4 linked regions of the Lonchura striata genome follow. The protein of the gene in region 1 interacts with the protein of each later gene in a pairwise test. Links are inferred from orthologs where the notes say so. Each region holds a gene or a part of one and is shown in the gene's direction. Other genes may lie near its edges. The genes, in order: HOXA1, FAM221A, SPRY1 and CCN3.

The links.
Region 2: the proteins of HOXA1 (region 1) and FAM221A interact in binary tests that used the Homo sapiens proteins (3 or more experiments, as listed by UniProt). The link is inferred for Lonchura striata from reciprocal best matches to the Homo sapiens genes HOXA1 and FAM221A.
Region 3: the proteins of HOXA1 (region 1) and SPRY1 interact in binary tests that used the Homo sapiens proteins (3 or more experiments, as listed by UniProt). The two-hybrid records come from large-scale screens. The link is inferred for Lonchura striata from reciprocal best matches to the Homo sapiens genes HOXA1 and SPRY1.
Region 4: the proteins of HOXA1 (region 1) and CCN3 interact in binary tests that used the Homo sapiens proteins (3 or more experiments, as listed by UniProt). The link is inferred for Lonchura striata from reciprocal best matches to the Homo sapiens genes HOXA1 and CCN3.

What each region holds. Positions count from the first base shown.
Region 1 is NC_134603.1:123,485,876-123,492,383, forward strand, and holds HOXA1 (homeobox protein Hox-A1), read left to right. Parts: upstream 1-4,492; coding exon 4,493-5,111; intron 5,112-5,539; coding exon 5,540-5,895; 3' UTR 5,896-5,992; downstream 5,993-6,508. UniProt on the Homo sapiens protein: Sequence-specific transcription factor. Regulates multiple developmental processes including brainstem, inner and outer ear, abducens nerve and cardiovascular development and morphogenesis as well as cognition and behavior.
Region 2 is NC_134603.1:124,838,686-124,846,616, reverse strand, and holds the start of FAM221A (protein FAM221A), read left to right. Parts: upstream 1-4,910; 5' UTR 4,911-4,949; coding exon 4,950-5,005; intron 5,006-6,533; coding exon 6,534-6,707; intron 6,708-7,178; coding exon 7,179-7,369; intron 7,370-7,931.
Region 3 is NC_134606.1:69,052,206-69,059,813, reverse strand, and holds the start of SPRY1 (protein sprouty homolog 1), read left to right. Parts: upstream 1-4,595; 5' UTR 4,596-4,731; intron 4,732-6,506; exon of another isoform or gene 6,507-6,550; intron 6,551-6,875; exon of another isoform or gene 6,876-6,887; intron 6,888-7,608. UniProt on the Homo sapiens protein: Inhibits fibroblast growth factor (FGF)-induced retinal lens fiber differentiation, probably by inhibiting FGF-mediated phosphorylation of ERK1/2. Inhibits TGFB-induced epithelial-to-mesenchymal transition in lens epithelial cells.
Region 4 is NC_134603.1:14,138,246-14,145,466, reverse strand, and holds the start of CCN3 (CCN family member 3), read left to right. Parts: upstream 1-4,200; coding exon 4,201-4,274; intron 4,275-4,382; coding exon 4,383-4,606; intron 4,607-4,857; coding exon 4,858-5,109; intron 5,110-6,962; coding exon 6,963-7,168; intron 7,169-7,221. UniProt on the Homo sapiens protein: Immediate-early protein playing a role in various cellular processes including proliferation, adhesion, migration, differentiation and survival. Acts by binding to integrins or membrane receptors such as NOTCH1.

The sequences.
Region 1 (6,508 bases):
GTCATAAGTATTTTTGGTAGAATAAATTCTTGTTTGCTACAAGGAGCTTTCTCTTTTTTCTTTCTCTTTCTCCTCTTTTTCTCTCTGCTTTCAAGACGGATAACATGACGGGTATCTCTCCCCATCCCTTCCACTATTAATTTACTAATAATCAAAATCCAACATTTTGACAACGAGCTCTTCCCTTTTGGCAATCTAGGACACTCATTAGAGAGGAAAAAATCGTTCATTTCCTTTATTGTAAGGATTCTCATAAGGGAAGGAAAAACAAACTAAAGAAATTAGAACCGTTCACAGATTTTATAGACATTTGCTCCTTTTAATGTATAAATATGGCATCTTTGTGAGGATACAAAGCTTGGAAATCCTGAGCTGTAACAAAAGCATGAATGAAGACTTTCTCTGCTACAGGCAGAACGTAAGAGTGACTCAATAGGGTAAGTGTCTCCTTCAGAAACCACCAGCCTGTTACATGAACGAAAGGAAAGTTGCTTTTAATTATTTTTTTTAATTAATCCTGGTTTTCTAGAAAGTAGTGCTTAGCAGCCAGCAAGATATTTCAGAAAACGTATCTTTAAAAATATCAGAGCTCACAAATAATGTGGTTGGTTACTTCTCACGTGCTGAGTAATCCAAGAAATCAGCCCTAGGAGGAGAGGAAATGGAGAAGTTAGTGCCTGTGAAATCAAAAGGGTGGCAGAAACGCAGGGGGAAGAAAAAATATTTAGGGAGGAACCGGCCTCTCCACTCCATCCTTCTCGGGGGCGGTGCGGGGGCAGACCCGAAGATATTTTTCTGTGTAAGCCTTCTCGAGAGATGAAAGACTGATAACGAAAAGGGGAACCTCTGACTTTAAAGTTACAATTTTCTCGGGCTCACTGCTCTTCTGCTGGAGGCGGCTAGACGGGCTTTCAGAAATCTCCACCAAATTGCCTGCCACCCGGTGTTACCGAACCCCAAAGCAGAGGGTGAGCCCCGTCCTTCGGGCTAAAACACAGCAACAGATGCCAGCGGGGCTCTGCCTCTCCGGGGCCAGGGAATCCCGTGCGGGGACATTCGCGGCTCCTTGAATGCGTGTGAGTGCGAGTGAGTCCGAGCGGTCACGTTACACAAGCGAGTGGGGCTTGGGTGGGGGGTTGTGAATGGGGTCCGTCCATGAGAGCAGTGCTGTCTCCCAGCCCTGTAACACGCTGTGGAGCTGGGATGCGTGGGTTATAGCTGGAAGGGCTGAACGCAATTCTTCCGAAAGTCATAAATCAAACTCTTTCTATGAATGAGAATGTCATCAAAGAGATCAATTGCAGGAACACATTCACAAATAAAAATCCTCTTACGTATTTGCCGAGGCTGGGGATCCCCGTCTAAAACCATTAAGTGAGAAGGCGTTTAGTCATAATTCACTTTTATTGCTCTTTTAAAACAACAGCTTGGCTGAGCTGCGGGCGCGGTGAAACCTCGGCCTCAGTTCTCCTCCTTCCCTCTGTTCCAGCCATGTCCCTGCGGAAAGCGAGCAGCCTCACCGGCATTTTCACTCCCCTGCCACTGGGTTAAATTGGACCGCAACGTTCCTGTAAGGCTTGGGGTTTCTTTTGTGCCCAGATTTCCGGATGCTGACTACACTTAAAGAAAACCAAAGCAAAACGAACTAAAAAAACCAAACCCAAACAATAAAACAAAACCCCCAAACAAAACCCAGAGATGTAAAAAAAAAGAAACGAAAATAAAAAGGAAATGGGAATATTCTACAAGGTTTAAACTTCTCACAAACTCAATTTAAATAAATGGGGGAATTCAGCAAGCAGAACCCGCCTCCGAGGCTCTGGGTGAACTATGGGGCCACAGCTGGGGCACACTCCCACGGAAAAGCCTAAACAGCCGGGATCGCCCCCTCAGCCTCAGTTCCGTGGCAGGAAACGCGGAGCGAAGCCGCGGAGGGGCCGGGATGGCCTGAGGGCAAGGGGAAGGGGCCGTAGCTCCCCCTCGCCTGGCCGCGGAGGACGGAGGGTGTGGTGTGTGCTCCTCCTCTGCTCCGACCCTTCTCATGATGTTGCCCCCATGCTTAGTGCGGGCAGCAAAACCCGAGAGCCCCGCCAGGGAAACAATGCAACAAGAGACAATGGCACCAAAAAGGCAGAGGAAAAAGGATTTCAGGATGCTGGAGACTGTAAGAAAAGTGATTGATCGGAATTTACGGGTAAAAGGGATCTAGTTGTAGTAAAATATTTTTTTTTTCCCTTGGCTAAAGGAAAAAGCATTGAGAAGATGTCAGCCCTTTTATTAGTAAGCAATACTAATCGCTGTCTTTTTTTTTTTTCTCTGCTTTGTGCAGTATTTATCACAACGGGTTTACAAGAATGAAATAAATGTGTTTACAGCTGCAGCCATAACCAAAATTGGCGCAGTATAATATCATAAACGCCTCTAGAGTGTTGTTGCTCTTGTCCTCCACTCCACCCCCCTACAGTTTAAGAAACTGAACCTTTCCAGAGGGCCCTTAACCATCCCCGCCTCTGTAGTAAATCAGAACAAATAGACGTACTGAGGGCACCGGGAATGATGCGTGGTGGAGAGGCGCCCGTCGGTTTTGGCTGACAGTAGAGCGGCCGTGCAGATGCCGTGGGATAAGGGCTGACCCAATAGCAGTAGGAAGGAGAGCTTTGCACCTAGTGTTGTTGTGTCGCAGTTCGTGTGGGAGGGAGGAGCTTGAGGGTGTGTATGTGGGTGTGTGCGTGTGTATTCGTGAGCGGGGAGTGGTAGCGTGGTAGAAGAGCCTTTTGGATTTCAAAACAAGCAAGGATCGAGCGTGAGAACAGAGGGACGTAAGAGTCGGCACCTGCAGAAATAGAGGGGGTAGCCCCTTCTGGGGCTAGTGTCAGGGGACATGACTTTCCATCCATCTTTCTCCGAGGCTGACGTTTCGCAGAACTTATTTTGAAGACTTTTGGTCCCGTCCTTTCTGCCTGCAGACGGTTGGGTGAGCTGGGACAGACGGATGCCCGGCCTTTACCTCCCCTTTCCCTTTCCGCATACGTAAAACGCATATAAGGTCGTAACCTACATCTCACCGCCATCCCTCCTTCTCTAGCCACGGACGAATTTTTTGACCCACCTCCCCACGGTGTTGGGGAGGGCTGGGTTGGAGTCGATCCTCAGAGCCGTTCCCGAGGGTCCTGGGGCCGCCTCTGCCACTGGCCATCTGCCATCTCTCCCTACCGCCGACCCGGGTGGCGGAGCGCAGGGACAAAGAGGCCGGGCCGGCGGGCTCTGCGCCTCCCTCCGCTCCTCTGCCCCTGTCCCGGGTCGCCTCCTCGGGCTGCGACCCGCGACACCCCGGACAGCCGTCCCCCCACCCTGTCCCAGGGCGGACGGGCGGCAGCGGCGCTGCGGGAGCACAGCAGATGGGCTGCGGAGCCCCCGGGCCCCCGTCCAATCATTCGTCCTCCTGCCCCCGGCTCCTCCTTCCCTAGGCTGGCGAGGGTGAGCCCGGCGAAGGCGCGGGGGGAGAAGGGATGGGGGCCAGAGGGTGGCCGGTGAGCCTGGGAGAGCACAATGGCCGTCAGTCCCAAAAGCGCCTAATTTCCATGCTAATGTCCGCGGCCGCCTGGTGATGCGGCTGGACAAGCCCCTTTAACTCTTGGCGTGGCGTCGCGTTGGGACTGCGGCGGGGCTGGACCAGCGAGACCCCCTCGGCACCGATACTATTACCGTCTCCACCTCCACCCACATCCCATCCATATCCATATCCTCGGTCCCATGCCTATTCTTTATTCTCTACCTTATCCTTACCTTCATTCCTTTTCTTATCTCAATTCCCGTCCCGGTAGAAGTCCCCAGCCGCATCCCACGGTCCCATTCTCATTCCCGTTCCAAGGGCTGATGCTCTCAGCGCTGTCTCTGCCTCTCTCCGCCCCATCCCTCGCCCCGTGCCGCGGATCCAGTCACCTCCCCTAGCCACCCCACCCCACCCCCGCCGCTGTCCTGGCCGGGGTTGATGGGCAGCAGAGGTGCCCGGTGCAGGCTTGACAGCGCCGACAGCAGGGTGATGCTGGGGCACACTGGCAGCAGCACTCACCCTGGAGGGGACGGCCGGTGGGCTCCGCGGGCCGGGCGCAGCCTCCAGGTCTCTCCTGCCTTCTTCTCTCAGCTGGCGGACGAGACCCAGGGGGCTGCCGCGGCGGGGGTGTGTGTGTACAGCCCTGCCCGGCCCGCCCCCCACCCCCTGGGGGCCACGGCCGGCGCCTCCCTGCCCGCGGTGCCGCTCGGTCGGAGCGCTCGGCGTTTAAATGCCCCCGATGCGGCGCTGTACCAGCGACAGGAGCCGGGGAAGCCCCGCGGGCGCCGCAGCCATTGGCTGCCGCCCCCCACGTGCCTGCCCGCTGCCGGCGCCTTCGTGTCATTTTCCTGCCGGCCCCATGGAGGAAGTGGGAAAGTTGGCGCGGCCCCGCCGGACGCTGAAGACCCGGTGGCGGCGTGACAGACAGACGCGGCGAGGATGAGCTCCTTCCTCGAGTACCCCGTCCTCGGCGGCGAGGCGGGGGCCTGCGCCGCCCGCGCCTACCACCCCGACCACGGGATTACAACTTTCCAGCCCTGCGCCGTCAGCGCCGGCAGCTGCAGCGGAGAGGACCGCTTCCTGGCGGGCCGCGGGGTGCCCATCAGCCCCCACCGCCACCATCACCACAGCCCGGCCCAGCCCGCCGCCTACCAGCACCACGGCGGGCTGGGGGTGTCCTACGCGCACCCCGGCTGCGGCCCGACCTACAGCGCGCAGGGCTTCGGACCGGCGTACGGCCCCTACCCCCTGGGGCAGGACGCGGAGCTGGGCGGCGGCTTCCCTCCCTGTGCCCCCGCCGTGTACTCGGGGAGCATCTCCTCCTCTGCCGCTGCGCAGCACCCGCTCCCCCACCAGGGCTACGCGGGGGCCTCCGCTCAGTACGTGCCTCCCCCTTACGGGCAGGACCAGCAGAGCCTGCCCCTGGGCACCTACAACCATGCGCTGTCTCCCCTCCACGCTGGCCACCGGGAAAACGCCCGCTCCCCCTCCACCGAGACCTCGCCGCCGGCGCAAACCTTCGACTGGATGAAAGTGAAAAGAAACCCACCCAAAACAGGTCAGTGGCCGGCGGGAGGGCCGGGGCGGGGGCCGCTCCTCTCTCTGTCCGCCGCAGGTGCGGGGAAAGAGGCGCGGTATCCCGCGGGGCTCTGGGCAGGTAGGTCGGCCCGCACCTCTGGGATCAGTCGCGGCTGCCTGCCCGCGCAGCTGAAAGCCAGCGGCGCTTATTCCCCACTTATTCCTGACTCCCCCTTCTCCTCCTCTCCCGTGGTCATATTTCTGGTAATTCATAAACCACTTATCAAGTTTGCTCTGACACTAGAGGCTGACTCCGGTTTAGCACCTCGTACTCCATCACTCACCCTGCCGGGGTTTCCCTCTTATCCTAAGAAGTTCTTGCTCCCTATCGCTTAGCCGGTGTGGACATATTGATTACATCGCCTATAAATCATTTGCGCTCACTTACCGCTGCATGTCCCCTCGCAGGCAAGGCTGGCGAGTACGGCTTCGTGGGGCAGCCCAACACCGTCAGAACTAACTTCACCACCAAGCAGCTCACCGAGCTGGAGAAGGAGTTTCATTTCAACAAATACCTGACCAGGGCCAGGCGAGTGGAGATCGCCGCCTCTCTCCAGCTCAACGAGACGCAGGTGAAGATCTGGTTCCAGAACCGGCGGATGAAGCAAAAGAAACGGGAGAAAGAGGGGCTGCTGCCCATCTCCCCCGCCACCCCCACGGGCTGCGAGGAGAAGGCGGAGGACTCGTCGGAGAAGTCCTGCTCCTCGCCCTGCAGCGCCTCGCCCGCCTCCTCCGCCTCGGACACGCTCGCTGCCTCCAACTGAGACCGGCTGCGCCCCGACGGCCGCCGGGCGCGACGCCCCCGCCGGAGCGGCACGCGTCCTTCCGCCGCTCTTATGTCGGTCCCTCGGTCGGTCGGTATCCCCGAGAGGTCCCGGCGAGCTGCCGTTCCCTCCCCCGCTACCTCCGCCGCCGTCCGGCCCCGGGGGTGCCGGCTCCGCCGGGTCCCGGCGCCTTGGTGCTAGGGGAATTTTCTTCCTGGCCCCCCCTTCCTTTTCTGTTAAGGGTGGAGCTGTGTTGGCATCCGCGTAAGGGTCCCCCTCCACCACTGCAAGGACGCTCCACCGAGTTTCCCTGAGTGAAAGACAGGTTATTTAGGGTACATAACCTCACAAAGAGATGCACTATTGCAAGTGTTTACACGACTTATAGGACATTCATCCCCTTAATTTAATGTATTCTTTGTTCGTGTCAATGTATTTGTTGCTTGTAAATACTTTGTCCGAGAGATTTATCTTTTTACAGATTTTTCTAGAATGATGTTTCGATTATCAGGTTAAGCAGGGTGAGTGCATTCGCCAAACTGGATCCATTTTTATATTGGTAAAGTAGATGACCGTATCAAGTAAACGTCTTAAGCTCAAGCAGATACCTCAA
Region 2 (7,931 bases), about 1.4 Mb from region 1:
GCTTTTCTCATTTAAATAAATAGTTTTGAATATCTGCATAGTAATCTTAACGTAATGAAGATATCCAAATATTTTCTCACACGTGTATGTGAAGAGGGGTTCCACATTAAAGAACTTTTGAGATGAATGGAGGGACAGATGGTCAGACTCTCAAACACACTGATACAGCTCTTAAAAAGCTGCCTATGCAATGTTAAGATCAGAGAAGTTTGCTGATCTGTTTTAATTGAAATAATGTTTAAAATGCAGAATCATGGCCCAGGATATAGAGGTTCTTGTGTTTAGTGGCACCCACTATTATTCATCACATATTGCACAGTTGTCTGGTTTTCCAAGTGACTGCTAAATCCTTGTTTTTTAATAACAGTCATTTAAAGAAGCTGACTAGATAGATCTGAATTCTTATTAAAAATACTTGCTAATTCAGAGGTTTCCAAACTGCATCATGTTTGTTATGTGTGCAAGTTGCTTTAGCAACCAAGCACATTCTTTGCAGGTACATGTTCCAGAGGTATTTGCTGTTGTCACAGCCTTTGTTCGTGGGAATCCAGAAGTAGAGTAAATTTAGGAGCCTCTATCAAGACATTACTTAGAGAAATAATTGCCTAAAATTTAACATCCCAGTTTATGATGTTTTCTTGAAAAATCTTTTCATTCCTAAAAATACACTGACTAGTGGAATGAGCTGAATGTCTAAAACATTCTTACATAAAATTGGTGTGGTATTTTTAAAGGTGATATAGAATGTTAATTAATTAATCTAAATATGCCCTCTTTACCTAACAATTGTGCTCTTTCATCATTCTGTATTTTACAAAACAAAGGGTCTCCTACCTTGAGGTTCAATTTAGTGTATCTGATAGCATGCCACCTTCAAAGGCAAGAGCAAAATGGGAGACTTCCCTTTTATAGCAGCCAAAAAAGTGAATTAGACTTTTGCTCTGTTTTTCATGTGGAAGAGACTGGTACTGAATGAGTATTTCACTAATCTCAGTTTGTTAGGAATGATGGACATAGGCATATGTCCAATATGAATATATGTATATTTACATATAAGATATGAAAATATCTTTTAACGTTATTAAAATGAAGCCAAATTAAAAAAAAATCACATTACATACATTCATGGAATCACATCTCTTAAGCACCAGTGGCATCACATGCTGCTGAGTTATCTGTAAGTGATCATAATTACTATATGTTTCCTAACTGTTTGTCAGTACTTCCAGCAAAAACCTTTCATTATTAATTGATTCTTGCTTGCACATGAGGTTAGGTTCCATATTCCCTTTGGCATTCATCAACTTACTTTGTCAGTTGGTGTCTAATCAGGTTCTGTTTTTCTAAAAACAAAACTGAAGAAAGACGTTGGTATTTTTAAATACTGTAAACTAAGTTTAATAATACACAAACTAATTTTTATTGTACGTAGTCTATGGTCATGGTTAGAAGTTTATAAAAGTGAGTACTGTTTGCATTTACTTTTAAGTATATTGGGATTTTGACAACACATGTGGAGTGAGGAAACAATTTGACAGAAACCGTTTCTGCTATGCTTTATGCCTCTTAAATTCTTGTTTTCAGAAGAGCTTATCAGATAGTCATTGACCAGATCCATAGAAATAGAATGACTGGCTACTACTTCAAAATGATGACTTGAGGTTTAAAATACTAAAACAGGTTTTTCCTAAATTAATTATTTTTTAGTAGTGAAGTGGGTATCTTCAATTTATAGATGTTTCACTGAGAATAATTTTAAACACTTGTCAAACTTGTAAGGGTTTAAAAAAATTTAAAGGGTCACACATTTTATTGTTAACAGAGGGTGTTGAGAGAGACTGTCAACACCCTGTGAAGCATTAAGCTGTTGCCTTTGATGTGTAGGCAGCACCTTAGGTCTCACAGAGCTGTACTGTGTGTCCATATGTTCAACCCACTTTGATGTGTTCAGAGATCTTGGGCCAGCAGTATCCGTATGCTACATCACAACTACAGGAGGTAAAGCATGCCATCTGGATTCCTGTTCCTTTTACTTACCTTGTGTCATGGCTTCTTCATAGTAGCTGAAAGCCTTATTTTTTTCCCTGCTATTCAAAATTATTTGGTAGTTTACAAAAAAAAAAAAAAAATCTGTTTTGAGCAGTCTTTAATGAGTTTTACTTTGGATGTCTATTAACAATCTCGTAGAAGGGATGAGAGACAGGAATGGGTTTTCTAAATTCAAAATGTATTCCAATACTCATGCTATGATAGTAAAAAGAGTGTTTGAAATATCTTTATTAGCTAAGAACTCTATTTCTCAGTCACAAAGTACTTTTTATATCTGTTCCTAAGTATGTCTACTGATCCAGATTTGGATCCAATCAGATCTTGGGGGGGGTCTTACTAGCACTGGGTGCTAATAAACTGAACACTGTATTGTGAAACACTTGCTGTGATCAAATCCAGGAAAAGAATTCTCCTTTTTTTTTTGATGGGAAGTAGTTCATAGGACAGATGCCTCACAAAAAAAAATAACTTGATTTCCTACTCTCAGTAAGTTGTCACTGGTTGTTCATGCATAAACACTGACATGAGTGACATACAGGCTAACATTTGTACCCCTCACTGAAAGCTGCATTATTAAGAAACCTGGCTCTTCTCTCTAAACCCAAGCTGTATTTCAGGGGACTGTTTTTAACAAGCACAGATGAGGCACATCAACCCATGACACAGGAGCTCTGCTCATTCTGTGTGAACCAGGCTTGCCAGAGCTCTTCCCCCCGCCCCCACACCTCCCCCTTTATTGGCAGTACTGGGATCTCTGGCACCAGCAAAATGTGCATACAGATAAGGTATCTCAGAGATCTTCACTTTTGTGCAGCTCCTGTGGAGCAGTGTGTTCCTCAGTATGTTCAAATTCTGTCTGCAGCGCTTCTAGTTCTGCTTTCAAGGTCCCCTTTTCCCCATCTGTTTCTTTTTTTAAGTTTTGGTCACAGGAGGAATTTTCTCTTCCCTGACTTTTCCCTGACAATTCTGGTTTTGTTGGTGTGATTTTATTTTCTTTCACTAGCTTACTCGAAGAGGTATTGACTGCAGTGGGGACTTGCTCCCTAATCTTCCTGCCTTTGAGGGTGATCTTTTGTGTTCAGATCTCAGTGTGACAGAGCGTGTGTGTTGTGTTGCTGTGCTGTCTGCTCTGCTGAAATTTCTTATACATGAGGCATAGCCACAGGACAAATGTCCAGACCATATGCCCTATCATCTTACTTGGATACTGAGAGTGTCCCTGTTGTTTCATCTCCTCCTGGGGGATGTTTTGGGAAAATATTGCTGTGGTCCTTGTGGCATTCCTCTTCACCACCTCCTGCTGCATTGCTAGTGGCTTGCACAGTTCAAAACTATGTGGAGATTTCTCTGAATTTCTTTTTTATTTTTTTTCCTCTTTTGCCAGGGAAGTATCATTGTATGGCATGAACAAGGCCTTTCCTCTTGGATCTCAGTTTGACAGTCTGAAGGCTCATAGCTTATGCTAGCAGGCAGAGCACAATTTAAATACCAATTTCCTAAAGCTTGGATAAGGAAAACGTACTATATTTTTTCATCACATATTTGATCACTTTGTGGCCAGTCTGTTTGTATCAATGGGAGGCAGTCAATTTACACTGTTAGTGCAGTGTCAGAAATAGCAGCCTTTGGTGGATTCGCTAAAAACACATTGGAGGAGTTGTTCCAATATGGTTACATTGATTGTAGCATATGGAAAAGAATCGGGACTTGCAGGTTGCCAGTCTAAGAACCATCTTTTGTTAAGAATGTTTCCCAAAGTTGGCCTCCTGTAGTCTTGAACTACAAGTAAAACGTATTTTCTAGTGGAACATACATTTTATTTTGTAAAGGAAGAGGAATCAGTGACCAACCAAAAGTACCCCTCACCTACCCACCAGAAAAGAAGCAGTAGTCTAAGCAGCAGCAGCAGAGGGCAATGTGGGTGCAAGGCTGGCACTGGGAGGGTTTGGGTGCTGTGCTGTGTGGCTGGTGGCACCCAAGGCTGTGGATGCCCTTCTGAGGCACTGCACTTGTGTGTGTGGGTGGCTGTGCCCTGGCACTGCTGCTCAGTGTCTATCCCAAGGGGCACAGGGGGTGCCTGCCTTCCCAGACAGTGTGTCCTGTCCTTGATATCGAGCTCCTCAAGATTTGAATCAAACTTTGCAATTTTTTTAGTTATTAATCAGTTGCCATAGCAGGACAGTTAGGGTTGAGCAATTGCGTTGTGAATGTTATGTGCTTGGCTAATTTTTTGTTTTAAGGAAAAGAGAAGACAATTCCAAGATGAATGGACTGTGTGGATGAGAACCACCAGTAGTGAAGCCAGCAGAACTGAGCAGTAACCGAGAGAAAGGGAATTCCAGCTGTGGGCGATCACAGCCACCTGCTCAAAACAGACCCCAGACTCAAATGGGCAGAACTGTGCCTGTGCACAGAGCTGTGCATGACAAGAGAGAGGTATGACTAGCAAATAGGGGGCTGAATACTAGTTAGTAGGAAAATTACTCAATTTGTAGCCAATGAATGTTGATGCCTTTGTTAAAATGTAATCAATAGTGTAAAGTTTTGATGACCTAGCCTTTTGTGGGTTACCACCTAGCTCTCTGCTTTGCGCAAGCCGGAATAAAACAAAGCAGGGCCTCGCCCCACTGCGAGCCCGGTAACGACGACGCCCCGGCCGGACAACAGCGCGGCGCGGGGCTGGCCGCGCCCGCGGCCCGCACGCTGCCCCCGCGCTCGCACGTTCCTCAGCCGCCGGTGCGGAGCGAGCTGCGGCGAGCCGCCCGCCTTCCCCGCCTGGCCCCCTCCGTCCCCCGGCTCTCTCCTGCCTGTCCCCCGCCTTTGCCCCGCCTGTCCCCGGTGCCTCCCGCCTGCCCGGCCCCGCCCGTTCCCGGCGCCCTGCCCCGGGCGGCCCGGCGGGCATGGAGCGGCTGCAGGCGGACGCGGAGGCCCTGGAGGAGTACGCGGAGTACCGGCGGTGAGGCACAGGGGCGCTGGGGTCGCTGGGGCGGGGGACGGGCGTTTCCAGCCGTGCCGCATCCCTGCGGCGGCCCGGGATTCCTCCCGGGGGGATGCTCGCCTCCGGCCCTCCTGAATCGGCTGCTGCGGGGTGTGCGGCGGCTTCGTGGAGCCACACGCACCGCCCGCCGGCCACTGTCGCAGTCGGAGGAGCCGCGGCTGGTGCGCCCTGGTGAGGACGCGCTGCAAGCCTTGGCTGTCAGCGGGGAAGTCACGCATCGTCCCTCGCATCCAGGGCAGCGTGAGGTGTGCTGGGAGAGGCCATCTGCTGCATCCCTGCCCACGGCAGGGGCTCCGGAATTAGGTGGTCTTTCAGGTCCCGTCCAATCCAAACCATTATCTGATAATCTGCCAGCCGTACTGCTCTTTCAGAATACGAGGAATTCTGTGCATCATGAGTTCCAAGTTTTGCGTTGTACAAATCCCTTACACTGCTGTGTGTCTTTGCCAGTCTTGTCAGCGGTCCTCTCGAAAGGCTGAACAAAAATAAACACTGTCGTTGTGCTGAGATCTTAATTTAGTTTAGGAAAACCTCGAGTAAAACACAGTGGTATTTCTTACGTAAGATGTGCAGTGATTCAGTGGGTGTTGGTTGGGTTGACATGCACATTATTCTGGTGCTGTACAGTGCTGGCAGTGCACAAATCCACAGAATACTTGACAAAGAATCACTCGTTCAGCATTTTTTAGCATATCCAATAAATAATAACTGAGATATTTACAGACATTAATAAAATCACTTTTAGCATAGATAAGTGCTGCAGTTAAGTCTCATTTGTATTTTACATATTTTATTTATTGTCCTTAATTGTTTCCATAAATGCAGAATTTGGATGCTGCTCCAGAGTTCCAGCTAGTCAGTGACCTTGAATTTGAACATAGTGATAGCTTAAACAAATGGGCCTGTCTGTACTGAGGGATAGGGCCCCCACCAGCTTCTGCTACAGAAACCAGCATAGTCTTCTTGCAAATCAGAAGACAACTTGAATGTGTTGTTTGTTACTTTGATGGTTACCTGCTTGCAGCTGAATACTCAGACTAGACTAATATTTGATACAAGTTTGACTAAGATCCTGATACAAGTCTGCAGTACAGTTGGGTGTAGATGGGTGAAGTGACTTACTAGAGGTCCGTGAAGAAGTCTGAGGCAGAGCTGGCTGGTTACATGACCCCTGATGCTCATTGCTATTTTTTTTTTTTTCTGAAAGAACACCTGGTAGTTTGTTGTGTTAAATTTTTCCTTCTCTCTTAGAACTAGTTCTCAGTCTATCAGAGCAAATTTTTTAAAAAAGCATTATTCAAAAAATATTCTCCAAAATCAGCCATAGTTCTGTTAAATTATTAGAAGAGTAATATGAAATACAAGATTTGTTTTGCATTTACAGAAAACATTTTGTTATATATTATTTGAAAAAAAAAATCTGAGATACCTACTTTTATTTTATTCATTTTCTTATGTTTTTTTTTTTTTTATGCTATGTAAACAGAATTGTAGGTGATGATGATGGAGGAAAGCTCTTTACTCCTGAGGAATATGAAGAATACAAAAGAAAAGTATTACCAGCTCGGCTACAGAACAGGTTGTATGTGAGCTGGAGATCACCAACTGGCATGGACTGTAAGCTTGTGGGGCCAGAGACACTGTGCTTTTGCACTCACCGGTGGGTAGCTTCCCTCTTTTTACACTTTAGTATTTTTCACAATCAGGAAAATGTGAAATAATCCCAGACACATTACAGTAGCACATTGACAAATTTATTTAAGGTTTAAGAGTTGAGAAAATTAGGTTTTAAATAGTAACAACTGCTCGTACATGCAAATGTCAATATATTTTTGAGACCAAAATGATTTTGTAGTCTCAATAAATTCAGCTGCAAGGCATGAGTTAATGTAGATCAGATTGATTCTGGTAGCGCTCTCAAAATGAAAGATAAGGATATGTGATATTTATGTAATGAATAGATGTAAAACCACCTGCTATCATGCATTTAATTGAAATTTCACTATTAAGAGTAAAAAGTACAATTAAAGTTACTTCAAAACAAAATCTGTGAAGTGAATAGCAAGCCTTTCAGGTAGTTTTCTCATAAACACTAACAAAGTTATAAAAGTCATTACCTCTCCTGTTTTAGGTATAAACAACACAAAACAGACTACGAGGTGCTTCCCAAGGAGCGCCCTATCAGTCTGCCCTGCAGAGTGAAGCGCTGCCCGTGCCAGTCCTACCAGTTCGTGCCCCTGAACGGCACCCAGCCCGTCCGCTGCCGCTGCAAGCACTTCGCGGACCAGCACAGCGCCGCGCCGGGCTTTCCCTGCAACTCCTGTAAGCCACCGCTGCGCTGGCGGCACTCTTTGGAGCCGGGAAATTCAGCAGGAACAGCGTGTGAGGATGGGCGTTCTGCCCAGGGTATCGGGTGTGTGCTGCTCTTGCCACCAATGCGTGTTTTCATCCTTGAGGAAGGATGAGAAGAGGGAAGGAGGACATCACCTTTTGCACAGGAGGGTTTAGAACAACATCCTTAGTTTCCCCAGGTCCTGTGAAGGAGTTTAAATCTGTGAGTGCTTCAGATAGGTGCTTATGGAGACAGATGTCTGAAGTTAGACGGTATGAAAGCACCCTGTTATCAGTTTGTCACTTCTGCTGCGTGCACGTACCTTTTCTACCTGAACTTGCTAGTTTGAGAGAGAGAAGCGTTGACCTCCATTTCTCTATTGTCAAGTTGACTAGAACATTAATATGTTTTTGTCTTTTCTCAAGTCAACAGGAAGTACTACTCTGTTCCCAAATAATTCTATTGCTAGCACTCTAACAAAGTGGTTCATGACCATAGAGATTGTGGCTCTAGAAATACAAATGGGAAAGGAGTTTCAGCAAGATCTTAGAA
Region 3 (7,608 bases), on another chromosome or scaffold:
AACTTCTCCAGCAGAAATAGGAATTGTGTCTGTGCAAGGAATTGTGTCTCAGTGGAATGGAAGGGGCAGTTTGCTCAGCACTAGGATACGAGACAAGGATTTGCATATAATTTATGGTAGATGAGAGTAAATTATTATTGGCATTCAGTAATAATGACAGTTTTCCTTTTTTCACAAAGCTGTTTATACAGGCAGATGAAGTCAATTAGCTAAAATAGTTAACAGTTAATAAAAAGCAAGGGAAATATGGTCAGTAGCTTAGCAGAATACCTTGTGCACATGCAGACAACCCATGTAGCAGCTACACATGAAGGCTAGAGGGGCAGTTGTCCAAGGAAGATTTAAGTTGTTCAGAAAACAGTAACTATGGGTACCTGAGGAGAGGTGTAGAGGTGCTAGTTGCCTGTATGTCAGAGGAGTGGTGGAAAATGAAGAGACTTGCTGTGGCCTATCCTTAGGAGAGTGAAGTTCTGCCTGTGGTTACTCAAGGAAAATGCTGGTTTCTTTGATACAATGCAGGAGATGGGGAAGGGAAAGTGTGTTCTCAGACTCTCAGCCTATTTTACAGACCTTGGCATTTTCGTCCTATTTAATTTGGGCACAGACTAAACCCCTCTCTCTGCAGCATTTGCCGAGATGCTTTGATTCCACATTCAAATGTTCATGAGGCAGGTTCACGTCGAGGTTCGTCCCTTTGTTCTTGGAGGTTTGCCCGGCTGCTGCCTTTTACTGTCTCCTCTGCCTCTAAGAAAAGCTGATGTTATCTCCCGAAGTGAAAACTACAGGTTCTATTTGTAACTGAGGATTTCCTGTGTGCCTTTCCCCAGCCCGTGCAGTGACGGCAAGAGACTGGCACATGGGCTGAGTGTCTCCAGAGAGCTTTGAGAACAGCCCCTGCACAGGAGCTGAAGAAATCCCCAGCCACCCGTGCCTTTGATCTCAGATAAAGGTCAACCTGTCTGGTAGAAAGTGTGATGGGAAATGCTACCACATCAGCCTTTGCTTTCTCTTCTTTACCCTGAAATGATTCACTGTACGTGTCAGGGTATGCCTTCACCACAGCAGCCATGGTGTTTGGCTCTTGGGAGCAGCTTTATTCATCTCATGCACCAGCATAAGCCAGGGCCAGCAAGATTTCATGAGAGCTGCTGAGAAACTTGTTATTACAGCAGTGTTCCATAGCCTTTGTTGGTTTGTTGGAGAGTTTTTAAATCATGGAATCATTTAAGCTGGAAAAAAACCTTTAAGGTCATTGAGTCCAGCCATCAACCCAGCGTTGCCAAATCACCAGTAGACCAGTCCCTAAGTGCCACATCTACACATCTTTTAAATCCATCCAGGGTTGGTGACTCAGCCAGTGACCTGGGCAGCCTGTTCCAGTGCCTTCAGTGAAGAAATTTTTCCTGATCCCCAATCTAAATCTCCACTGGTGCAACTTGAGGCCATTTCCTCTTGCCTTGTAGTATATATAGGCCTAGTGGTGTGTTAAAAAGTTAGTTATGCTGGTCTTGTCCCAACAAGCACTGAGAGTTTCTGAGACTGTTCAAGCACTGACAACTACAAAGTTCCACCTGACACAAACTCAAAGCTGCTGACACACAAAGCTTGGGGAGCTGTAGGTTCCAGTCAGTTCTCCTGACACCACCTCTGCAAGATCATCTCTGGTGAGGGAAGTACCTGACCTACACACGCTACAGGTAAGACTGGCACAACAATTTGGTTCATAATTTTGTTGTAAATGCTAATGGAGGGGGGTGTTTAAATTCCTCTGTAACCTGAGAAATGTTGTTGCAGCTGTGAAGATTGGTTAGGAAGTGACAAGTAACATGCATAAAGGGAAACATTTCCCCTGCTGAGTCTCCTCAAAGCCATGTTGGCTTTGTGACTGCGGATGAGTGTGTGTCTTCCTTCTGGACTGGGATTTGTGCCTTAGCAAGGGCTAAGAGATGCTGCTTAGGGAGAAACAGAATAATATTCCCAGGGGGAATGCACCATGGAAATAGTTGTTCCTGATAGTGGGAGGATCACAGTTTATCTGGTGCATCTTTACAAAGGTCAGTTAAGTCACCTAGAGATAAAAGTTACTTCTAGGTGTATTAGGAAGAAAAACAAAAAGCTAAGGATGGATTGTGCTTTTGTTCTGTCCAGTGCTGCTGTGAGGGAGAAGTAGCATCTGACTGCAGAAGGTGGGGATTATCTCCAGTACCCGATCCTCAAAGTGAAAGTGGAAGGAGGGATTGGATCACTGCTCTTGGCCATCATTCAGTCCCCCGAGCCCCTTCTGGCAGGTTTTTCTGAAGGATTTCCTTCAGGCACAGAGGGCTGGTCTCTATTGACTTGGTGTCAGCTGAGCCACCTCTAGATGATGGTTTGGAGATAGAAAATTATTTGGTTGCATCAGATTCCTGCCTGTGCATCAATCCTCAAATTTAGGCCATGTTAGGATGTAGCCATAGGTGCCAGTTCATTCTCCAGAATGTTGCTCTCCTTTTTCTAATCAGGACTTCTCACTGCTATAATTTCTAGGAATAATCTAGTGAGATGGACTTGTGCGAGGTGCAGGAATGTTTGCTTGAGCCTGTGGAGAGCCTTTGGATATTGCTGGAGGGTTTTCCCTTCTTTCAGTGAAGTACTAATTCAAGTGCCAGGTGATAGTGAACACCTGCCAGTCCTCTTGGTTATTTGACTGACCCATTTAAGTCTGGTATTATGTTTCTAAAATCAAGCTTTTACACTTGGCATAGGTTTTTTAAGGTGGTACTGGCTTTAGAGATGTGAAAGGAAAGGCGTTGAGGTGTTTTCATGGTCATGTCCTAGGAAAAATGTTTATGGACTTCTGCGAGAACTGAGCCCTGCTACCTACAAAGATGAACTGCACCACTAAGACTACTCTGCAGGAGTAATGGTTTTTAAAATTTTTTGTAGTAATTTTGGTTCTTTAGTTGGATTTTTTGTTCTTGTCAGACATAAGCTTTTGTAACTCTTTATAAAGTTTTTAGATGGATTTCACTGAAAATGATGTTGTACTTTGTGCTCAAGGTGTGCCTGAAGATGCGTTTGGTGAACAACCACATTTTCTAAATCCATATTAATGGATAAATCAAATATTGTTTTGGAATACTTTTATTCCACACCAAGGATTTTTATGCTATTGTTTGTCCTTTGAGCCTCTGTCACTGGAGAATGGTATTTATGGTTTGTCTGCAATCTGTTAATTACAAACTCAGCAGTATTAGGAGTCACACTACCACTAGTACTATATTCTAGTATTCAGTACAGAACCTCTAATGCATGCAAATTTTATTTCATATAGAAATAGGTGGTTCAGGTAAAGGTTGTGCATAATGATGAAAATTTCAAAAATGAAATGAAAGCTTAGTGAAGTTTAATGAAAAACCACTGTGCTGCTTCCACAAGTGTGAGCTGGGTGTGCAGACTGTCACAGAGTACCACCTTTGTGGTACAATCCTGTTTGTAGGGATTGTTTGCTTTTGGATGTATGTTCCTGCTAAGCAGCTCCACATATCCTTAGCACATACTTCTTTTCTTTGGGGCAAAAGGTGGGAGAAGTTTTGTTTTTGGTTTTTTTTTTTTTTTTTTTTTTTTTTTTTTTTTTTTTTGGTGAAAGAGATTGTTAGTATGGTTCAGATAAACTTAAGGCTGAGTGGTGTTTAGCCAAGTACTGGAAGTCTCAACTATTCCAATACCTTACATGTTGTTATGAGAATTTGGATGTGCTTCATATCACTTTCCTGTTCTTTTGGTGGCCTAAATACTCTAAAATATTCTAAATATTAGAATACTCACTGAGAAAAACCAAACCCCCAAAAATCTTACGTCAAATGTAATATCTGGCCATAAAACTACTGACTTGGAAAGCATCCCTGTATCTCCTTGGCATCATGGCAGGGATGCAGTCGTGACCTTTAGATCGGACCTTGCCGAGGCAGGGCTGGAAAGGTGGGAGACAAGACAGCCAGGTCGATAACCAGTATCATCTCTGCTGCAGTGACAGCCGATGGGAAGAGCCTCTTCCTATCTCATGGCAGGATGGCGAGAGGGAGTGCTTTTCTCGGGTCCTCAGCCGCCTCCGCAATAGCCTGAAAGAAGCAGAAAATACCTTGTGAATATAAACGAAGGGCTGTTCCACCTGGCTTGAAGGGCGCAGACGGCAAAACGCAGAGAGGAATCTCTCTGTAACTCTGTCAGAGGAGCGTGGCAGAACTTCAGCCCTTCAGCAGAGCCCTGTGCCCGCCGGTGCCGCGGCAGCTCCGTGAGCTCTGCCCGCCCGGCCGAGCGCAGGCGGGGGCAGCGTGTGCGAGCCGGGCAGCTCCGAGCTCCGCCGGGCCGAGCCCGCGGGGCGCTCCCTCTGCCGGCGGGGCCTCGGGGCCGGGAGGAGCCGCGGCCGCGGGACAGCGCGGGGCCGGGGCCGGAGAGGGGCAGGTCCTCCCTCCTTCCCTCCTCAATTCCCTCCCTTCTTCTGTCCCTGGCGGCCCGCGGGAGCGGCTCCCGGCGGGAGGGCGGGGAATCCACGCCGGGATTTCGGAGGCACACTGACATCAGGGGGGCGCGGCCGGCGGCGGGCGGGGGCTGCGCGCTGAAAGGCGGCGAGGCGCGGCCCGAGTCACTCCGGAACGGCGGCGGGGCAGCGCGGAGCGGCTGCCGGCACTGCCCGGGCTGGATCCGCGCCGCCAATGTGCCGCGGGAGGCGGGCGCTCACCCCGGCCCTAGGTAAGCCCGGGCGGCGCTCGCCGCGCCGCACACCCACCTCCCGCCGGGTCAGGTGCGGGCGGGCGGCCGGGGCTCCCCGCGCCGCGCTGGGGGCGGCCGCGCTGCGAGGCGTGCGGGAGGTGCGGGCGAGCCGCGCTCGCTGCTCCGCGGGGCACCGGGCGGGAGAACCGGGGCTCGGCTCCCCGGGCCGGCAGCGCTGAGTTGGGCGCGATTCGCTGCTCACAGAGAAGCTCCGGGTCGGTACTCGCCCGTCCCGCCCGACGCGGGGTCTCCGGCGCGTCGGAGCTCTGCGCGACCCTCTCGAGCCTGCGGAGACCTCGGTGCCAGACTGCGGCGTGCGGGGTCGCCCCTCCCCGCCGCGTCCTGCCCCTGCCCCGAGCCTGTCACTCGGCCCCCGGCAGCGACAGCCAGCACATGGCTGTGTGCGGCGAGCTCGCAGGGCCATTGCATTGCGCTGCCTCTGGCTTCGTTCGCAGTTCGCTGAGTTCTGCCTGGAGAGCTAGAGCCGCTTCTTGATCGCTTTAGAAAGAAAATAAAAAATCAAAACGAAAAAAAGCAAAAACCCAACCGAATCTTTCGCACCAGAGGTTGTGGTTGCACTTTGCCAGACGGGACTTGCGGCAAGGACCATGCGGTGAAGCCGAGCGCCGGAGCGGGACCGCAGCCCTGCACTCTGCGATCGCAAAGGGAAATAACAAACAACCGGAGCAGGAGCCGCGCACCCGCCGCCTTTTCACAGAGACCAGCATCGCAACAGCCCCGCTGCCTGCCGCAGCCTGCAGCCGCCTGAGGCTCCATCCAGATACTCCGCTTTGCAGGAAGGGCTGGATTTGCTCCCCGTCGCCTCCGGACCGAGAGAGCCGTGGCCGAAGGAGAGCGCCGCTTCCACGGGCGGCCGGGGCCGCTGCATGCTGACCCCGGGAGAGGGGAGCTGAGGTGGGCAGGAGAGCGGGGCTCTTCTCTGCTGGCCTAGTAGGACGTGGAGATCGGCGAGCGAGGGCTGCGCGGGGACTAGGAGCGCAGCCCGCCGGCCCTCCCCTCCCCGGGGGCCGGGAGAGCGAGGAGCCGAGGCCCCGCCGCCCCCCGCCCGCTGGATTTGCCGTTCCCGGTGGCTGCCTGCACACCCGTAAGTTGGGACCCGCCGTGCACTCACTCGCGGGGCCGGCGCTGCCGCAGCGAGCAGGTGCCGCGGGGCGCTGCGGCGCCCGCCCGGTGAGGGGCGGCCCCGACCACCCTCCCACCGTCCCCCTCCCGGAATGGAGGCACCGGGCTGCTGCGGGAAGGTTTACTGGGGATCGTGGCCGGCTGCGAACGAGCAGAACGTCAAAAACATCCCCCAGACGCTCCTCGCAGGTGGGGGCTGGAGGGGCTGAGGCGGAGGGTGCCGAGCCGCAGCGCGGGGCTGAGCGGCCGCTCGGCTGCCGCTTTAAGCGCCAGGTAATCTGCTCTCCCGAGGCAGCGCCGGGCTAAGATCTGCCTTCCTCTGGGGAAGAGAGAGAGAAGGAGAGAAAGAAAGGGAAAAAAAAACAACAACTATGTTTTCATTCATAACTTTTTTTTCTTCCCCTTTTCCCCTCCTCTTCCTTCCTCTCCGTCAGCGCCGTGATCCGCTCCGCTCCGCTCGGGGCGCAGAGGGCGCCGCGCCGCCGCCGCCCGCCCGGGGCTGCGGGGAGCGGGGCGGAGCAGGGCGGGACGGGGGCGCTGGCGGCGTGTCCGAGCGGGTGTGGAGAAGGGGAGGGAAGCGGGATCCCACCCCCGACGGGCGGGGAGGGAGCGCAGCCCCGGGTGCAGAACCGTGAGGGCTCTCGCCGCCTGCATCGTACGTTATTTTATTATTTTGTTTTACTAATTTTTCTTTTATTGTCCGGGGGGAGAAGCAGTTTACGAGCGATCTGCGCGGGGGTGGAGGTGGCTGTTCAACTCTCGCCCCGGTCTGCAGCTGGGCTTGTCAGTCTGCGCCGCGTTGATGTTGCGCTTTCCCCCCAAAGATGGCACTGGACGTCTTTGCATTTTCTTGGGATATTGTTTTTCATCCCCTAGGGAGCCCAGCTCCTGACTGGTACAGCTGTAAATCTTTCCCTTTTCGCATTCATTCAGCCTTGGTCTGTTGTGGATTTGTATTCAGTGCTCATGAAGAAGGCTGCTTCTTGTGTGGGGTAGGAGGAAATTCTTTGCTGGAGGGTGGTGAGGCACTGGCACAGGAAAAGGCTGTGAATGCCCCATCCCTGGAAGTGTCCAAGGCCAGGTTGGATGGAGCTCTGAGCCACCTGGTCTAGTGGAAGGTGTCCCTGCCCATGCCCAGGAGCTTTGGGACTGCAGAGTCTTTTAAGTCCCTTCCAACCAAGCCATTCTGTGATTCTGTTCTGTGAATTAGAAGTGAGAGTGTTTGGTTTTTCTGTTTAATCTGGTGACCACAAAGCCCACACAGGTGATGTCAGATGTAAAATGAAATCTTTTGACTACTGGATGAGGACAAAGACTTTGTGTCACGGCACAAGCTGTCACTTTCTGCTTATGGTGACTGCCTGCTAGAACAAACATTTCCTCTTCTTGTTCTTTCGGTGCCTTTTTCTCTCTGGAGCGGGGAACAGCTCCATGCTGGCTGTGGTCTGGATATACAAGACACTTTCATAGCATTATTGGATGAGTTTTTGAAATGCTTGCTATCACTTACCTTTCTCTGCTTTCAGGTAAACACTTATGGCGTCCCAAGGGGGAGTGAAAAGGGACTTTTCCTTTGGCTGACAGTAAAGAAAAGCAGCTTGTTGTCTTGGTTCCCTGCATAAATGTGGCACTTGGATACTCAGTTCCAATTCTGTGTAGGTGCAGAACTCACTGCAGTTTTCTCTGCGTTGCAGCCTTCCCGTCTCTAGCTAG
Region 4 (7,221 bases), about 110 Mb from region 1:
AGCCATAACAAAGCCATGTGTAAGAACTTCACCTGCTGATTGTGCTCTAAGTATTCCCGGCAGGCTTTATAATTAAATAGGTGTGGAGGAAAGAAACTTTTGGTGGAACATGCATTTAAGAAGAAACTGGAATTTTTCTACTGAATTTCTTTTAAGCACATAGAACTGTCTGACTCAGTGATGCAACTCCCCATCCCAACATAAGTAACTCTGACATTTTCAAAACAATGTTTTGATTTTTAATGTTATTTCATTTCAAAATTTTCTTCACTTGTATGTAAGATATTTTAAAATAATGCTCTGAAGTATTTTACTTTCAACATTTTCCCTCCAATTTCTTATTTGCTAAACCTGTTATTTCTTTTATGGATGACACAGAAGGCAACTCACAAAAAAGTAAAATCCAAGTCACTGTCATTTGCATGACTCTTACTATTGCAAAACTCACAGTATCATAGCATAACTTCAGTGGGATTGTAGACCACCACAAAAAATACTGTAAAAAAATAAAAACTAGTAGAATTCTTCCATTGGCAAAAGGATAATACATTTTTTAATCTCCTCTCAAAAGCACAACTATGACTAAGTCTGTGGGGATAATTCTGATAACGACATTATAAATAATTAGAACTTACATCTTACTTTAAACAATGTCAGGGTTAGCAGAGGTAATCACTGAATGAAGCAGTTGCTTTCCTGGAATATCTGTCTCTCAGGTGAAGCAGGATGTCTTTTGGAGAGGGAAGGCACTGGGGCCAGTGCATGCACTACAGGGAAAATTCACCGGCCTGGTTCATTCAGCAAGAGCATCCATGCCCACGTCGATGGCGGTGGCGGCAGTGCCTCTGCTGTCCCTGTCACAGCACACACGACAGGATCACCATGGCTCGGCTCTGCTCTCCTCGGAGCCGGGGCCCGTCGCTGCTGTCCTTCAGCACCAGGAGCTGGGGCGGAGCAGGAGCGCCGGGGGGGAGAGGGGCTGCCCCGACACCTTCCCGCTGGATGGGCAGGGCAGGGGGAGCCTTCCCTTCTCATCCCTGCCTTCTCCTGCCGAAACCACACCCCCACCCTGACTGCAGGGGTGCTGCGGGATAAACAACTTAGTCACACGCACACAGTGATAAAACCCTTTCTCGGTAACAAGGACGCTTCCACATGTCGCTCGTGTGTGGTATCAGTAACGCCACCAGATGTTAGGAATTTGCAGCTGTCAGCTGCCGCTGGAAAGGGATAGCTAAAAACTAAAACCTGTGATATTTTCTAGAAAAATACTGCCATTTATGAGGTAGACTAAAAGAAAGGGCATTATTTATGAAACAGTGCCGGACAAGTGCTGAATTATCCACCTTGTATTTGTATCAATAAAACATGGTAAGACAAAAGAGCAAAAGGAGAAAGAGAAGGATATGATGTTTATGACAACTGTACTCTAAAAATGGCATTGTTTGACATACATGAAGAATGGATAATTTTGTGGAGCTACATGTTGTGAAGCAGTCACTTTCACAGACAGCTGGCTTTAAAAAGAGGGATAGCACTATGAATGCTTGAATTTTTCTAATGTTTGATATATATCCTGACACCTATGGATAGTTATACCAGAAACCTTCTAAGAGTTGACCCAGTTTTATTTGTAACTCTGTTTCCAGTCTTTTAGATACAGCTTTTTCCAGCACTTTTCCAGTGCTGAAAAACCTTTAAGTACATTCTTAATACTGAGATTCTGCTGCTGGGCTCTGTTCCTGAACTTACACCTCTCAACAGTGTTCTCCAACTGTGTTTCCCTGCAGAGCGAAGAACAGAGGTTAATTTCTTTACATCTTAGGAGGGATTACTCTTTGCAACAGCTACAGCCAAGGTGGCAACCTAAATATTAACTCACTTAAGTACAGTTCTTTTAAAAAAGCAAACACAGAGAAACTAAAATATTTATTTGTACTTACTAATTTTGTATCATGAATGAATGCTATTCATTGCCAGCTGAGCCAGCATGAAACACCTCCACTGATCATTATTTTACTCTGTGAGAAGTAACAAAGGATGCTTTCATATGATAAGAAACTTTAAAAAGTTGCAAGAGAAGTACAAACAAAAAGATTCACAGTTAGGAAAATAAACCAGTGTCCAAGAACTGGTGGTTCAACAGATTGGAAATTATGCACGGAGGAAGTGAAATATCTAGGAAAAGATACTTGGTCCTATTGTACTAAAATGTAGCATAATCTCATTTTCATAACTGGTATTGCATAAACAGAGTGTTCATAAGCAAGTGCAGCTTTAATAAATCTATTAAACACATGTAAAAGAGGGTGGGTTTTTTTTCCAAATTAAGTATGCTGGCAAATACTTTTTTCATTTCTTTGACTTTTTCTGCAGTTTTATGTGGTGAAATGTTTTTATAGACACCAGAAGATATTTAAGATGATATTTAAGATATTTAAGATATTTAAAGTATTTGAGATATTTAATATATTTAAGATATTTAAGAGTGGTGTGAAGTAATCTCACTAAAAGGTAAGGAAACTTTCAGTGACTGTGAATGATTACCAGCACTGAAAACCTCTGCAGATTCACAAGCAGTGAGATGGGCAAAAACAAGTCTTGCATGTGCCCTCTGGCTTGCAGGCTTGCTTCTGGGAACACTACAGAAAAAGCCTTGCTTCTTTTCAGCAAATCTTCATGCCTGGCCAAGAGCATTGGTTATTCTGTTCACAAGCAAAGTGCTGTAAAAAGTGGCTGCACTGACTGACTAAGTCAGAGATTAATAAGGGAGAAAAAAAAGAGACAAAGAAGGCAAGATGACCTGTTAGGCAGTGGGTGACTTAAATAACCTCAAACTCATACCCAAGCTGCTAATAATGTTTGAACAATCCAATTTTCCTCTTGGCTGGTCATGCTGTTTGTGCCTGAGAAAATGAAGGCCAGAGATTACATGATCCTGCACCAGTGAAATCTGCTTTCCCCAGAATGCCAGGCATTTTCAGAAATCCTGCTGTTGCTAGTTAGCATCAAGAAAGCAATGGTCACATTTGTCCAAACCAAAACTTCTGTCTTGTCATTTCTGGTGATGTGTTTTGCTTTGGTACAGAGCTACAGTAGCTTTGTAAATTCATGAGTATTACTTGTGTCATGTCTTAAACTTAAAAGACATCTAGTTTTCACTAGTGTGTCAACAAGTTTTGTTTACTTTTCAAATATTTTCTCTTTAACAAGCCATAACAGAATCCAGTGGATATTATCTGCCTCAGACAACTAAGGATAAAGCATATCTGTATAGGATATCTGTATAGACCCAAGAAGGCCTGCCTTAGGCAGAAGGCAATTCCTGCTGAGTAAAACCCGTTAACAGATTTAGTCTCCCTTACACTTGGCCTTAAATCTGTCCTGCACATGCTAAAATAACAGCACAGAGCACTGGAGTTACTTCTACAAAGCATTCCTGAGGCCGGGCCTGTTGGCTCTGTGTCCCCTGTGGTTGCATACACCATGTAGGAACTGAGTAGTCTGTGACCACTCCAACGCACTGAGTTGCACAGAGCAGGGAGGACTCCCTATGCAACATCTGTGTCTCATCAGCTGATACACCTGCACCTCTCTAATAAAGAACAGCGCCCGTGACTTGAAAGTGAAGAGTTCAGTGCCCACCAAGCTCAAAACGCTTCAACGCCGGGGCCAGGAGCAGTATAGCCCCGGGAGGCGTTTGGCTTTGGGGTGGCTGGTCTCCAGCGCTGAGCACTGCCCAGCCACGCCGGCGGTGCCAGCGAGCTGCGAGGCAGCACCGTGCCCCCTCGGCGTGCGGCCCGGGATGGACGCTGCGGGCACACGGCACGGGAAGGGGCCGTAGGGACCGGCTGAGGGCGGCAGGCCCCTCGAGGGCACTGGGTAGCTCTGGGCCAGCCCCACCCCGGGCAGGGGCCGGCTCTGTCCCCGGGGCTGCGGTGCCCGCTCCGTGCGCCGCCGGCAGAGGGGTCGCGCCGGCGCCGGGCAGGGCAGGGCAGCGGCTCGGCGCCGCCGGGGCAGGTGGCGGAGGGAGCGGGGGGAGCCGAGGGCCCGGCCGGGCTCCAGCTCTCCGCCTCCGGCCCCGGTGCCCGCCGTGCGGGGGTGGTGGCGGAGGGGGGTCCCCGAGCGCCTCTATAAAAGCGGCTGCAATGGCTCTGCCGGCAGAGCCGAGCGGGCGGCGGGCAGGCGGCGGCCGGGGCCATGGCGACGGGCGGCGGGCAGGACCTGCCCGCCCTGCTGCTGCTGCTGCTGCTGCTGCTGCTGCTGCTCCGGCCGTGCGAGGCGAGCGCGGGGCGCCCGGCGGGGCCGGCGGCCGGGGGGAGCCGGCGGCCGGCCCGGCCCCGTGACCCGGCCCCCGGGGCCGCTCTGTCCCCGCCGGTCAGCGGCCGGGAGCCGGCGTGTCCCCGCTCCTGCGGCGGGCGCTGCCCGGCCGAGCCGCCGCGCTGCGCCCCGGGCGTGCCCGCCGTGCTGGACGGCTGCTCCTGCTGCCCGGTGTGCGCCCGGCAGCGCGGCGAGCGCTGCTCCGCGCTGCTGCCCTGCGACGAGAGCAGCGGCCTCTACTGCGACCGCGGCCCCGAGGACGGCGCGGCCGCCGGCATCTGCATGGGTAGGTGGCGAGCGGCACGTCCCCGCCTGCGGCTCTCGGGGCGGCGGGAGACCCTGCCCGGCCGGGCCCGCCGCGCCCGTCGCTGCCCCGCGGCTCTCCCGCCGCCCTCCGGCAAGGGGCCGGTCCTCAGCACCACCGGCGCTGCCCCCGGTGCTGCGGGAGGTGCCAGCGCGGACGCCGAGGGGCTGGGGGGGCCGGGGACTGTCCGGGTGCCCTCTGCCTCTGCGAAATGCTTCCCCTTTTCCCACTAGTGCTGGAGGGAGACAACTGCGTGTTTGATGGGATGATTTATCGCAATGGGGAGACGTTCCAGCCCAGCTGCAAGTACCAGTGCACCTGCCGCGACGGCCAGATCGGCTGCCTGCCCCGCTGCAACCTGGACCTGCTGCTCCCCGGCCCCGACTGCCCCTTCCCCAGAAAAGTCGAAGTCCCTGGAGAGTGCTGTGAGAAGTGGGTCTGCGACCCTGACGATGAAGTGATTTTGGGAGGTTTTGCTATGGCTGGTGAGGAAAATAAAATTACTTATTATAGTCATTGTGAGCAGGAGGTGATATCATCGTGGAAATATCCACAGGATTGCCAGGTTTAAGACATATTGCTTGTATGGTCAGGTGTTTTTCTGCCATACAGTGACTAGTATACCAGTGGTTATTAATAAAGGCAAAGCTCATCAGGTAAAAGAAAGATTCAGAGGATGAATATGCATAGTAGTTTTAAAAGTTAATTAATGTAGTTCCCAATTTTTAAATTTCTGTTTATCTGATATGCATTGGTTTTGTGACCAGAAGAAAACAAGGACAAGGTCCTAATCCGCCAAACATTCCCACACCAAGGAAAAAAGAAAAAAAAGATGCAGTCTTGCTAGTTGCTCTGCAAGAATATTTTTCAACATATATAGTATTATAACAGTTTAGTCTACAATATATTTTCTCCCCACTGAATTCTGCAGCTCTTACAAGTGGTCAGCACGGTAGCTAAAATGCCAGTGAATTCCAGCCTGTCTTTGATAGAGTGCTCATGTTTATTGATGGCATTAAAAACATTACAGAGTACTTGTAGAGGCAGTGGTTATAAACACAGTGAATGGATTTGTAAGAAAACTCAATCCATTCCAAAGTGCAGAACTCAGGCTTTTAAAAAAAGCTAGATAGGATTTTCTTCTTTTTCAGTTTTTTCCTATTTTCAGTTTTTGTACTGAATTATGTCTCCATCCCCATTAAATGAAACTCTTAGTTCAACATGAATTTTCATAACTTTCTTCCAAGAGTGGAGGGCACTGCATTCTCTTCCAGTCACTGCTCTTTGTGATCTTGGGCAGTTAGTTATGCCAAAACTCAGCTAATCCATTTTAAAAACAAGTGAGAAAGGATTGAGGAAGAAAAGCTGGAGTAGCTTTTCAGTGTGCTGTGAAGTGTTACTTGTAAAGCACATAAGGTGTAAACAAAAAGTTTGACACTTTTCTATTACCTTTCCTTTCCTTTGATTTGTCTGATGGTGACAGGCTAAGCCATAAGGTGCCTACAGATGAATTGTCTGCATTCTTTCGGCAATGGCCATCCCTCTCTGGAGGGCACCTTTTTTTGGATCTTTGCCATTCAAAAGGCAGGAAGGCTGTTGCAGAGGAGCTTAACAGCAAGAGCTGTGACTGACGGCTCAGCTGTATTGTCTCCTCCTGTTGGGTACTGTGCTAATCAGTGAACAAAACTGTGCCTCAGCAATGTTTGCCCAGTGCAGCTTTACACTGCCAGGAGAGCAGGACGGTGGTCAGACCTGGCCATGGCTTTAAGTACCTGTGATAGTTCCTGGAAATGGCTTCCCTCGAGCCTCCCCACCATCACCCTGGCTGTAGGCTGTCAATAATTGACAAGATGGCGTGACTTTATGACTCTCAGGTGTAAAAGGACTTTTGTTCCATTATGTTTATTGGTTTAGATAAAAAATTCAGCCTCTCTCAAGTACCTAATATAAATACTTTTATGACATAGCTTTAGAATTGACTTGTGTCATATTTCCATTAGAAAGAGTGAAGAATAAAAATCTGTTAGGATTCTAAACTGATTTAAAAGTCAGCAATAATTCTTCCAGCTGTGGACTTGAGTGAACAGAATCTAAATGCTTTGCTGATTACACTGATAGACATCTTTCTGCTTTGGGGCTTTTTTTTTAGACATAGGAAGTTGCTATTCAGGATTCCTAAAAAGTCAGCTTTTCAAATTTCTAAATCCTGTCAAAGGCATGGATTTTGAACCTTATTTTGTCTCACATGTTCCTTCTCAGACATGATGGAGCTCAATTAGATATTAAGATTTCATGTGAGTTTTTTTTGTAATAAAGTTCTGTGGGGTTTTGTCTCCAGCCTACAGGCAAGAGGCCACACTTGGGACTGTGACTGATTCAAGTGCCAATTGTATTGAGCAGACAACAGAATGGAGTGCTTGTTCCACCAGCTGTGGAATGGGCTTTTCCACCCGTGTTACCAACAGGAATCAACAGTGTGAAATGGTGAAACAGACACGGCTTTGCATGATAAGACCTTGTGAAAATGAAGAGTCATCGGATAAGGTATGCTGCAGAGAGTGAGGCAAGGCAGGTCTTCAGCTCTAATTCCAAGGTTG